Linked DNA regions of Sus scrofa. The protein of the gene in region 3 purifies or fractionates together with the protein of the main gene of each other region. This does not show direct contact. Links are inferred from orthologs where the notes say so. Each region holds a gene or a part of one and is shown on either strand. Other genes may lie near its edges. The genes, in order: FLNA, PRR5L and RICTOR.

What was found.
Region 1: the proteins of RICTOR (region 3) and FLNA purify together in Homo sapiens (affinity purification with mass spectrometry; 3 studies listed by BioGRID and IntAct, with this or other methods). This does not show direct contact. The link is inferred for Sus scrofa from reciprocal best matches to the Homo sapiens genes RICTOR and FLNA.
Region 2: the proteins of RICTOR (region 3) and PRR5L purify together in Homo sapiens (affinity purification with western blotting; 3 studies listed by BioGRID and IntAct, with this or other methods). This does not show direct contact. The link is inferred for Sus scrofa from reciprocal best matches to the Homo sapiens genes RICTOR and PRR5L.

Annotation. Positions count from the first base shown.
Region 1 is NC_010461.5:124,910,562-124,914,208, forward strand, and holds part of FLNA (filamin-A), read left to right. Parts: intron 1-67; coding exon 68-220; coding exon of another isoform or gene 221-340; coding exon 341-463; coding exon of another isoform or gene 464-580; coding exon 581-847; intron 848-995; coding exon 996-1,133; intron 1,134-1,311; coding exon 1,312-1,427; intron 1,428-1,978; coding exon 1,979-2,111; intron 2,112-2,733; coding exon 2,734-3,292; intron 3,293-3,376; coding exon 3,377-3,580; intron 3,581-3,647. UniProt on the Homo sapiens protein: Promotes orthogonal branching of actin filaments and links actin filaments to membrane glycoproteins. Anchors various transmembrane proteins to the actin cytoskeleton and serves as a scaffold for a wide range of cytoplasmic signaling proteins.
Region 2 is NC_010444.4:24,729,128-24,732,874, reverse strand, and holds the start of PRR5L (proline-rich protein 5-like), read left to right. Parts: upstream 1-919; 5' UTR 920-1,680; coding exon 1,681-1,749; intron 1,750-1,894; exon of another isoform or gene 1,895-2,120; intron 2,121-2,189; exon of another isoform or gene 2,190-2,210; intron 2,211-2,236; exon of another isoform or gene 2,237-2,384; intron 2,385-3,747. UniProt on the Homo sapiens protein: Associates with the mTORC2 complex that regulates cellular processes including survival and organization of the cytoskeleton.
Region 3 is NC_010458.4:24,152,458-24,156,104, forward strand, and holds part of RICTOR (rapamycin-insensitive companion of mTOR), read right to left. Parts: intron 3,638-3,647; coding exon 3,472-3,637; intron 3,181-3,471; coding exon 3,079-3,180; intron 2,966-3,078; coding exon 2,919-2,965; intron 855-2,918; coding exon 719-854; intron 316-718; coding exon 116-315; intron 1-115. UniProt on the Homo sapiens protein: Component of the mechanistic target of rapamycin complex 2 (mTORC2), which transduces signals from growth factors to pathways involved in proliferation, cytoskeletal organization, lipogenesis and anabolic output.

The DNA.
Region 1 (3,647 bases), on a different chromosome or scaffold from region 3:
GCCCAGGCGCTGGGGTGAGTGAGACCCCTGTCCTGGGCCCCCTGGCTCAGGGATGGCTCTCCCGCAGGCTACGGTGGGCTCAGCCTGTCCATCGAGGGTCCCAGCAAGGTGGACATCAACACAGAGGACCTGGAGGATGGCACGTGCAGGGTCACCTACTGCCCCACGGAGCCGGGCAACTACATCATCAACATCAAGTTCGCCGACCAACACGTGCCTGGTGAGGGTGGCGCCCACACACCTTCCCCAGGGCGGGGCACCCCTCCGTCCTTGTCGCTCCCCGGGGTCCAGCTGCCGAGTGTCGCCTGTGCGGGATGTGGGTCGTGCTTTCTCCCTGCAGGCAGCCCGTTCTCCGTGAAAGTGACCGGTGAGGGCCGGGTGAAAGAGAGCATCACACGCAGGCAACGGGCTCCTTCGGTGGCTAATGTCGGCAGTCATTGCGACCTCAGCCTGAAGATCCCTGGTAGGAGCTATAGGGAGCCAGGGAGGGGTCCCAGGGAGCCCCTGGGTGCCAGCCCTAGGGGACCCCGAAGGGCTGGGGCCTGGCTCTCCTGCTCACCAGGCTGTCCCCCACCTACAGAAATTAGCATCCAGGACATGACAGCCCAGGTGACCAGCCCATCAGGCAAGAGCCACGAGGCTGAGATCGTGGAAGGGGAGAACCATACCTACTGCATCCGCTTCGTGCCCGCTGAGATGGGCATGCACACGGTCAGCGTCAAGTACAAGGGCCAGCACGTGCCTGGGAGCCCTTTCCAGTTCACCGTGGGGCCCCTGGGGGAAGGGGGCGCCCACAAGGTCCGCGCCGGGGGCCCTGGCCTGGAGAGGGCTGAAGCTGGAGTGCCAGGTAGGCCTGCCTCCTTCCTGCGGGGCTCATGCTCCTCCTGGGGGTGCGGGGGGAAGCAGCCAAGCTCATCTCAGCCCTGCTTGGAGGGGGCCGGCGGCGGGGGTGAGGGGCGGCCAGCCGTCCATGAGGGCGCGCTACTTTCCCACAGCTGAGTTCAGCATCTGGACCAGGGAAGCTGGCGCCGGGGGCCTGGCCATTGCTGTTGAGGGCCCCAGCAAGGCCGAGATCTCCTTCGAGGACCGCAAGGACGGCTCCTGCGGCGTGGCCTATGTGGTCCAGGAGCCAGGTACTGAGGGGCGGGGGCGGGGGCGGCCAGGCTGGGCTGTGGCTGTTGATCCGGTTCCACGCAGACGCAGCCCTGCCCGGCTCCCACCCTCCAGCTTGAGGTCCCAGGGCCCCTCGGGCTGTTCGTGGGAGGCGGCGGGCTCGACTGCCATGGCCGACCTGGCTCCTTCCCTGCCCAGGTGACTACGAGGTCTCCGTCAAGTTCAACGAGGAGCACATCCCTGACAGCCCTTTTGTGGTGCCCGTGGCCTCTCCGTCTGGTGACGCCCGCCGCCTTACTGTTTCTAGTCTTCAGGTGAGGCACTGAGAGAAACCGCCCGTCTGGGGCTCCTGGGCCCGGCCAGACCAGAGCCACCGCACAGAGCAGGCCTCGGCCCTGTGTGGAGGGACCCGCCCCGCCCGGCTCAGGGCACCGGGCTTCTGCTCTGGCCGGGTGCAGCCCACGCTCGGGGTCGGCAGGAAGTACCCCTGACCGCCGCGTGGAGTTTTTCTCGTGTCTCAGGTCTAAAGGCTTTGAACAGAAGCCTGTGCCCCTTGAGCACCAGGGCTGAGGTTTAAAGAGGGACAGCCTGCCAGGGTTGAGCGCTGCCCATGGGGCAGCCCCCCCTGCTGCCGCCACGCACCCCCCCCCCAGCGTGTGCCTGTAGAGCTTGGGTCTGGGAGCGGGAGCGGGAGCGTGTGCTTGGAGCGTGCTGCCCCTCAAGGATCAGTGGCTCTCCCTCTTTAAACCAAGTTGGACGCCAGATGGGTAAGTGCAACCCCGTGGGCCTCCTGCTTCTGGGGCCCTGCCTGCCCTGGCCCCCGCCCCGGCCCCGGCCCCCCTAACCACGTCTGCTATGCTTCCAGGAGTCAGGGCTAAAGGTCAACCAGCCAGCCTCTTTTGCAGTCAGCCTGAATGGGGCTAAGGGGGCGATCGATGCCAAGGTGCACAGCCCCTCGGGAGCCCTGGAGGAGTGCTATGTCACAGAGATCGACCAAGGTGAGGCCCTGTCCCTGCCCAGCCACCCAGCCATCTGCCCTGGCCCCGCTGGGAGCCGTGGGCCTCCCCCCGGCCTGTCCCGCTGGCTGGAAGCAAGCCGAGAGTGCGAAGGAAAGGCACAGACCGGAGGCAGCCGAGCCAGAGCGCAGCTGCCCCTTCGGCCAGGCAGCGCTTCCCGCACTTGTGTCCCCAAGTCCCTGGGGACCTGGCGCACCAGCCATGCAGCTAGGGACCCGAACGAAGCCTAGCTGTGGGGGCTGCTCGGCCCAGTTCCACTGGTGACAACAGCCCAGTCCTGCCCCTTCCCGGCCACATGACTCCGAGCGAGTTCCTGCCTGTCTCTGGGCCCCAGTTAACATGGGGGGATGTGGGGGACTCATCTTCCTAGGGAGGCGTCATGGCAGGTGTTCTGCTTTACCAAGCGAGCGTCCTGGCAGTAGCTTGGGCACCTGACACTTCACCCGTCAGGCTTCAGGAGGTCTGCACTGTGGCGGGGGTGGGGGTGGGGGTGCCCAGCACGGTCCCCTGAAAAGGGGTGGGCAAGGGAAGCTCTCCACAGGTGCCGCTTGCTCAGTTCAGGAGGAGGGCTCTCAGGCCCACGGAGCCCTCCTCTGTTCCTCAGATAAGTACGCTGTGCGCTTTATCCCACGAGAGAACGGCGTCTACCTGATTGATGTCAAGTTCAATGGCACCCACATCCCTGGAAGCCCCTTCAAGATCCGAGTCGGGGAGCCTGGGCATGGAGGGGACCCAGGCCTGGTGTCCGCTTACGGAGCTGGCCTGGAAGGCGGCGTCACAGGTGGGTCAGTGGCTGCAGCTTCTGCTGTGTGGACACAACTGCTAGGGCCCCTCCTCCGAGCTCTCGGTGACAACAGGAGGCGTGTGGAGGTGACAAGGCTACGCTGGGGGCGGGGGGCAGGGAACAGGCCAGGCCAGCTCTGTCTAACCTCCCGTGCCCCCAGGGAGCCCCGCCGAGTTTATTGTGAACACGAGCAATGCGGGAGCCGGTGCCCTGTCGGTCACCATCGACGGGCCCTCCAAGGTGAAGATGGATTGCCAGGAGTGCCCGGAGGGCTACCGCGTCACCTACACCCCCATGGCACCTGGCAGCTACCTCATCTCCATCAAGTATGGTGGCCCCTACCACATTGGGGGCAGCCCCTTCAAGGCCAGAGTCACCGGTGAGCCTTGTACGAGCCTCCTGCTAGCCCGCCCGAGGCCTGGCCCTCCAGCCACCTCTTAGCCCTGCCTGCTCTGCCCTGCAGGTCACCGTCTCGTCAGCAACCACAGCCTCCACGAGACGTCGTCAGTGTTTGTGGACTCCCTGACCAAGACTGCCAGTGCCCCCCAGCATGGGGCCCCGGGCCCAGGTGCCGCCGACGCCAGCAAGGTGCTGGCCAAGGGCCTGGGGCTGAGCAAGGCCTACGTGGGCCAGAAGGGCAGCTTCACGGTAGACTGCAGCAAAGCAGGTGGGCGCCCAGGCCGCGGCCTTCCGCAGAGGCCACAAGTAGGAGCAGAGAGAGAGCCAGCGCCCGG
Region 2 (3,747 bases), on a different chromosome or scaffold from region 3:
AGTATGAATCTGCCTAGTGAATCTATTCACAGATTTATGCATATGATATTTACTGGGTACCTACTATGTGCCAGGCACTCTCCTAGAATCTTGGGCTGGTTCCGTGAACAGAACAAAACCATGTTCTTGTAGAGCTGATGTTCTAGCCTGGAAGCAGGAGGTAGTTGGGAGAGACAATGAAAAAAAAAAATCATGTAAAATGTTACAAGATGATAAAATGCAATGGAAAAAAGATAAAGTAGAGCTGAATGAGGGGGCTTGGGAGGGAGGAGTGAGTGACAATTTTAAATAGATTGAATAGGGTAGGTCTCATTGAACAAAGACTCCCTTTTCACCTCCTAGACTTGGAGGATAATAATAATAATAGCTTAATATCTGTTGAATCCCAGCAGAACTTCTAAGCGCTTTGTCTGTATGAATTCATTAAATCCTCATAACAACCCTGAGATAGCTACTATTTTTAATCCCATTTTCGTAGGAATAAACTGAGGCATAGTGGTTAAGTAACTTGGCTAATATCCTGCACCTATGAGTGATGATGGTTGATTAACCTTGACCTTCTGGCTCCAGGCTTTGGCCCATACATGCTCAGCACAGCTGCTCTGAATACATCTCCCAAGTCCCCTCGCCGATCACTGTTCTTTCAGGGCTTTCTTTCCCAGGCATGTGCTTTGTCCAGTCCCTTTTGTTGTACATGATTACTGAGATGAGATTTTTTTTTTTCTTTTTTCTTTTTTTTAAGGGCCACACCTTGGTATATGGAAGTTCCAGGCTAGGAGTCAAGTTGGAGCTGCAGCCACTGGATTATGCCACAGCCACAGCAACGCCAGACAGATCTGAGCCACATCTGTGACCTATACCACAGCTCATGGCAACACTGGATCCATAACCCACTCAGAGGGGCCAGGGATTGAACCTGCGTCCTCATGGATACTAGTTGGTTTCCTTACCACTGTGCCACAACAGGAGTTCCTGGGATGAGATTTAAAGTCTCTTCAGCATCCTGGGGTTTGCTGAGAATACCTCAGCTTTATTTGATATCACTGGAAAAGAGGAACACCAGAGCGTCCATGAAAGTCCCCTTGGGCACACTCTGACCAGCAACCCTTTTAGGGGTTTTGTAAGGTCACAGTGATCAAAATAAATATAAAATTTTTTTCTCAGTTGTGACATAAAAAGACAACTTTTTTTTTTTTCAGCAAATGCCACTGTGGTTTCAAAGCCTAAGTGTGATGTGTGAACGGGCAGCATTAGTAAAGTATTTCCTGCTCAACCATAGGGTGAAATTATGCAAGCCAATGAGTCCTGAAAACAGCTGCATCAAATTCTTAGCACCTGCAAGAAAACAGTGTTGAAAATAATTTTACATTGTTTTTAATGTTGGGATTGGTTGGTTTTCTCCCGTTTCAAACTTGAAATCCCCTCCAATGCACTAAACCTTCAGCTGGTTAGAGAATTGAGGAGGTTTAAAAGAATTGTGCAAATCTAAGGGAGAGACCTCAATGGAATTATATTTTTATTAATGCACTGAAAACTTCTCCTGGAATTGGCCTGAGAACTGTTCCTTAAAACAACAGCAGAAGTCCCAGACACTAGTCCTCTGGTGAATTACTCCTTTGGCGTCTCTGTAGAGTGTGTGTGTGTGAGATCTGTGTGAGGGAAACGCAGCGCCAAGCTCTCATGACCTGTTGCATCCTCCCCAGCTTTTCAAGTTACAGAGTTGGATTTCCTGAAATTGTTGAAGTGGATGTAAGTGCAGGCGCCCCCCTCCCCCCTCCCCCCTCCCTAGCAGGGTAAGAAGAGGATGGGGTGAGGTGGGGTGGGATGGGGGCCCGTTGGAGAGAAACTAAAGCGATGAGACAGGACAGGAAAAGCGGGAGGAGGAGGTGGGGAGGAGGAGGAGGAGGAGGGGGAGGAGGAGGTCGTAAGATGAGAGAGGAGGGAAACGTGTCACCAGCCTGGCTCCGGGAGCTCCGCTGCCGCTTCATTTGTGGACCCGCGTCGGAGGGGACCTGAGGCTGGACAGGACCCCGCCGAGGGCAGAGCCGGGAGAGGAGGGAGGACAGGGGTCTGGGCAGAGCGCGGCGGCGAGAGCCATCCAGGTCGCTGATTGCTCTTGGGTGAGGAAACTTTCCCGGGAAGACCGGAAACTTTTCCCTGGGCGCGTGGAGTCTGGGGCGGAGGAGAGCTGCGGGTGTGCGCGATTCGAGGTGACTCGGGAGGGGCTGGAGCCTTAGGCTTAGCAACGGCACGGGAATGGGAACAAAATCGCCGGGCACAATTCACTGGGGCACGGGGGAGGAGGCTCGGGGAAAGTGTTAAATTGAGGGACAACCGAGTGGGGACCTCCGCGTGGTTCAGGATCCTCGGATTGGACGCTGAAGGTGGGCGTAGAGGACCGGGCTCGCGACCCTGATAGGGGGGAGAAGCGGGTGGGGAACGCGCCCCGCATCTGCAGCTTAGGGTGGACGAGGGAACGCTGAGGGGTGGAACGCAGGATGCCGCCGATCCTGGGACCCAGGCTGTGCCAGAAGATCGAAAAAGAAAGTTTGCTTCTTTGTCTCTTTCTCCTCTGGCCTGAGGGGCAAATCTAAAGAGCCTACTGGGGCGCCCCCAAACACCCCCATCTTTCCCTGTTATTCTCCTTTTTCCAGAGAGGCGTGGGAGGGGAGGCCAGGGAAGGGAGCCGCTTTGTCCTGAGCGCCACTGGACGTGCGCGCTCCGACTGGGGCGGGCCGGGGCGCAGCCAGCGGGGACCCGGCGGGGCCGGCAGCTCTCCTCGCGGGCGGCATCCCCTTTGGGCTTCATCTTTCCCGCCCTCCCTCCATTTGGAGAGGCTTTCCCCGGTGCGCCTACTGTGCGCCCCCTACGAGCTCGATGCGAGCACAGGGGACCTCTGGAGACCCGGCCCCTGCAGCTCCAACCCTCTTATCCTCAGCCTTGTGCCGCTTTTCCGAGGGGCGAGGGGCGGCTGCCGGGGAGCAGACCAGGTCACATACATGCAAACTTTGCTTCTGTAATTGGCTCTAGGGTGCCTCCCTGGTTGGCAAGAGGGTTTCCCCTCCTATTTTAGTCGGCCCCTGCCTTTGGTCACATGCCACCACCTCTTCCCCGGGCGGTGTGGGAAGCCCGCATTTTGTTTGTCAGCAGTAAGGCGGTGAGTATTTATAGACGCCAATGCAGTCCTGCGGTATGCAAGGTTTCAATTACTGTGATGTGCCCCACAAGACGGAAGGCTCACACCAGGCGGCTCAGCGGCAAGTCTGCACCAGAGACCCGCTTGGAATAAGCTCTAGGCTGGAGTCTGGGCATCCTTGCTGGGGCAGAGTTCTGGAACTGTTACCCAGATGATACGTACAAATCCAAAGGGACCCATTGCAAAGAACCACAGCAGTCCAGTCGAGGACGCCATATCCAGATTGTCCCCATCGCCTGCCCCGCCTCCCCTACCAAAGGGTGCTCGCTGATCAAGCCTCAGAGGCTGCCCTTTTTACTTCCCCTTAGTGTCCTGACCACCATGAGTGCAGTCATGACATTTCACTGGCCTACATGCTGCAAAATGTCACGAAGTTGTGCTTTGGTAAATTGCTCTGGGGGTGGAAGGTGCAGTTATTGACACCATAAAGCAGCAAGTGGGTCAGGAGGAGAGAGGGAACTTGCAGAAACTAATTTAGCCACATTTTAAATTTAGCCCCTGATGAGGTTCCTAGTAAGACTGAGAATGGTGCAGTGCTCTTTGTGGAACCT
Region 3 (3,647 bases):
TTGGACCCCTAGCCTGGGAACCTCCTTATGCCGTGGGTGCGGCCCTTAAAAAAAAAAAGTTAAAAAAATAAATAAAGTTTAGGCATACACTGAAACAGAAGCTAGGAATGCTCACCATTGAAATACACTGCACTTTTCCAGCATTTTGACTCCGTGAGGGTGACAAGAAAGTGTTCCAATAAATAAAAAGTAGTGTTGACTAAGAGTAGTCAATAAACCATTATTTTGAAGACTTCTTTCAGGTTTCATTCCAGATGAGGCATTGAGCCACTGAACAATATCCTTTACTAGATCTTCTAAGTATCCTTGCCCATCCTAAAAGCAAATACGTTATGATATTGCTGGAAAACAGTGCCTACAATTAGAAAAATCAACTTTTATCAAGTCCAAGAAATAAAATGATAATGAAGTTACTAATAACACATCAATCACTGAGTACCTGTTCTTTGTAATCCCATTCAACACAGTGCTGTAGGAGATGGTATTGTTTTTCATTTTACAAGGAAAAAAAGTAAGGTCTTTTAAAAGGCAAATATTTGCCCAAAGTCACATAAATAGCTAATCTAGGTCCAGGCTCATTCCCTATGTTTCTAAATACAGGTTATGCATATTCAGAAATAAAAGGAAGGGGCAAATTCAGTTAAAAAAAAAAAAAAAAAAAAAAGAAAAGAAAAGAAAAGAAAAAATTGCTCTGGAAAATATCCAAAGTGCTTATTACCTCTTCAGACTCAAGAAGAAATTCTGTAAACTGGCAACCCACAACTGTGAGCTGCTTGGACTTGGCAAAGTCCAGATCCAAGTTCGCATATAATTTACTGCTGGGCTTGTAAAAATAAAGCAGTCTTCGTACAAACCTAAGATTAAAATAAAATCAGCAACAAAGTTATAAACCAAATAATTATTTTAGAATCTTAATCCTAGCTTATGATATAATAAGATTCTGAATATGTTTTGGATTTAAACCAGTGGGGTAAATGGAAAGAAATTTAATAAACATATTAGGTACATTCTACACACAAACAAAACAACCAAAAATAAAAAATCCCTTTACTGTAAAAAATATCTTCATGAAATAAGAATTGAATCATTAGATGCTTTAAAGAAATAATGGAGAAGATGCTAGCAGAAAAAAAAAATACAGATACTAACACAGCTAGAAGGTGGCATAAATGAGGACGCCACCTAGCTACAAATTTTCTTTTTTTTTTTTTTTTTTTGTCTTTTTGCTATTTCTTTGGGCCGCTTCCGTGGCATATGGAGGTTCCCAGGCTAGGGGTCAAATCGGAGCTATAGCCACCGGCCTACGCCAGAGCCACAGCAACGTGGGATCCGAGCCACCTCTGCAACCTACGCCACAGCTCACGGCAACGCGGGATCGTTAACCCACTGAGCAAGGGCAGGGACCAAACCCGCAACCTCATTGTTCCTAGTCGGATTCGTTAACCACTGCGCCACGACGGGAATCCCACTTCTTTTTTAATGTGCACACATTTTTTTTTGTTAGTTTTTTTTTGTTTTTTTTTTTACTCTCTTTTAATTCAGTTTATATACATCTTCTTCTATTGTACTTTTTGAAAGACTTTGTCCCATGGCTCTCTAAAATAATCTTGTACTAGGTAACTGTAATTAAATGCTGCTACACTATGATTTTGTCAGTTTTTCACAATTAGGGGAAAAGTCAAGCCTAAAAGCTCTAGGTAAAAGTTATGAAACTGACTTTAGGAAGCAATGGACATAATTTATGACATTTCAATGTCATGATTTTCAACATTATATTCTAAACTTCCATTTAATTTATTACCTCAATTTAATTTCATGCACTACAATCCAATCTAATAAAGGTGCCAGGTCCAGGAGTTGGAGAAACAGACTTCATCTCTGTTCTCAAGGGGTCTGAAAAGTTAGTGTTATGCTTCTTTATAGCAATGTAATTTATATGTTATATACAATTCTCAAAACTTAATTCAGATATTAAGTTAAATATCATTGAGTAGATGAGTACAATCAAAAAATAACGGAGTTCCCGTTGTGGCGCAGTGGTTAATGAATCCGACTAGGAACCATGAGGTTGCGGGTTCAATCCCTGCCCTTGCTCAGTGGGTTGACCATCTGGCATTGCCACGAGCTGTGGTGTAGGTCACAGACGCGGCTCAGATCCCGCATTGCTGTGGCTCTGGCGTAGGCTGGTGGCTACAGTTCCAATTTAGACCCCTAGCCTGGGAACCTCCATATTCCGCAGGAGCGGCCCAAGAAATGGCAAAAAGACAAAAAAATAAATAAATAAAATAATAATAATAATGTTAATGATATGAACCCCTCAAAAACATGAAGTAAAGGCCCTCTTATCCAATGAGATCAACACTGGCGGTGGGGTAGTCTAAACTTGGAAGACATAAAAATGCATGGGGTACTAAAAAACAGCACAATACCCTGAAGAGCTATGAACATTAGCATGTTTTATGGAAGGTGTGGAGAGCATCATCTTGGTTAAGGAGAGTGTAATGAGGAAAAAGAATGAATAATCCTCCAAGATGAAAATGAAAGTAGAATTGGAAGATTTAAAAAGGCCATCATTTTGAAAGGGAGACACTATGTCCTTACTATGCCATCTTCCTACATAAGGGCTAAGATTAGTACATGGTCAATATTCCTCAATTTGAGACACCTTTATCTCAAGTGCTTCATTTGTTTCAAAACTAAAACCAGAATGTAAATAACCAGAAAAAGAATTAGCTGATACTATCCGGTTATAAAATAGAACCATATACAAAAATGTACATATGTACCTAGTGAACACCAACTATTAAAATGTACATAGATGTTTTTAAAACATCAATTATTACTTTTAGTAGTTATCAAGCATAATATAATTCAAATCTAAGTTCTTTAAATTTAAATGCAAAACAGTTCTTACATACCTGTGCAACTGTTCATCTTTATAGTTTCTGAGATTTACATTTGGCCACTAGAAAAACATAATATATTACGTATTTATCACTTCCTAAACATATAATTTTAATGAATTATGATAAATAATAAAATGAAGATAAGCCATTTCCAAGAAGTAAGCTGTCATACCTTAAGAATGGTCCCTATAAGATTCCAATTCCATTCAAGATTCTCTTTATGTTGAAGGACTTGGCTATCTCTAAGATTCATTAAAAGAGCTTCTTCTGTATCCTAAAATCACCAGAAAATAATAAGAAAAATTAAGACAAACTGTCCTCACATTAAAAAAAAACTAAGTTCAAGTCTTAAAAAGAAAGATTTGGCATCTAAGGAGCATTATCAATGTTTTTAACTTTAAAAAGTTATAAAAACACAGCTCTTAACTGCCTAGTCATAAAACTTAGAAGGCTTTTGAAAATCCACATGCGTGAATAAAACTGTGAACTCAAGTAAGTGCATGCCTGCTAAAATCCAGTGCTTAAAAGAATTAGGAAATGAAAAATCGCAACTTCATGTCAGTACCTTAAGAACAAATATATCTTTCTGAACTCGGAGATATTGATCCCGTTTCTGGTGTGTTGCAATTGCTTTCTGAATAATGTGATCTAAATGAAGGCTATAAGGCTTAGGTCCTCGTTTCTTCATTTCATGGAAGCGTTTTAAACAGTTCAGGGCTGCACTAGCTCGCCTAATGAGAA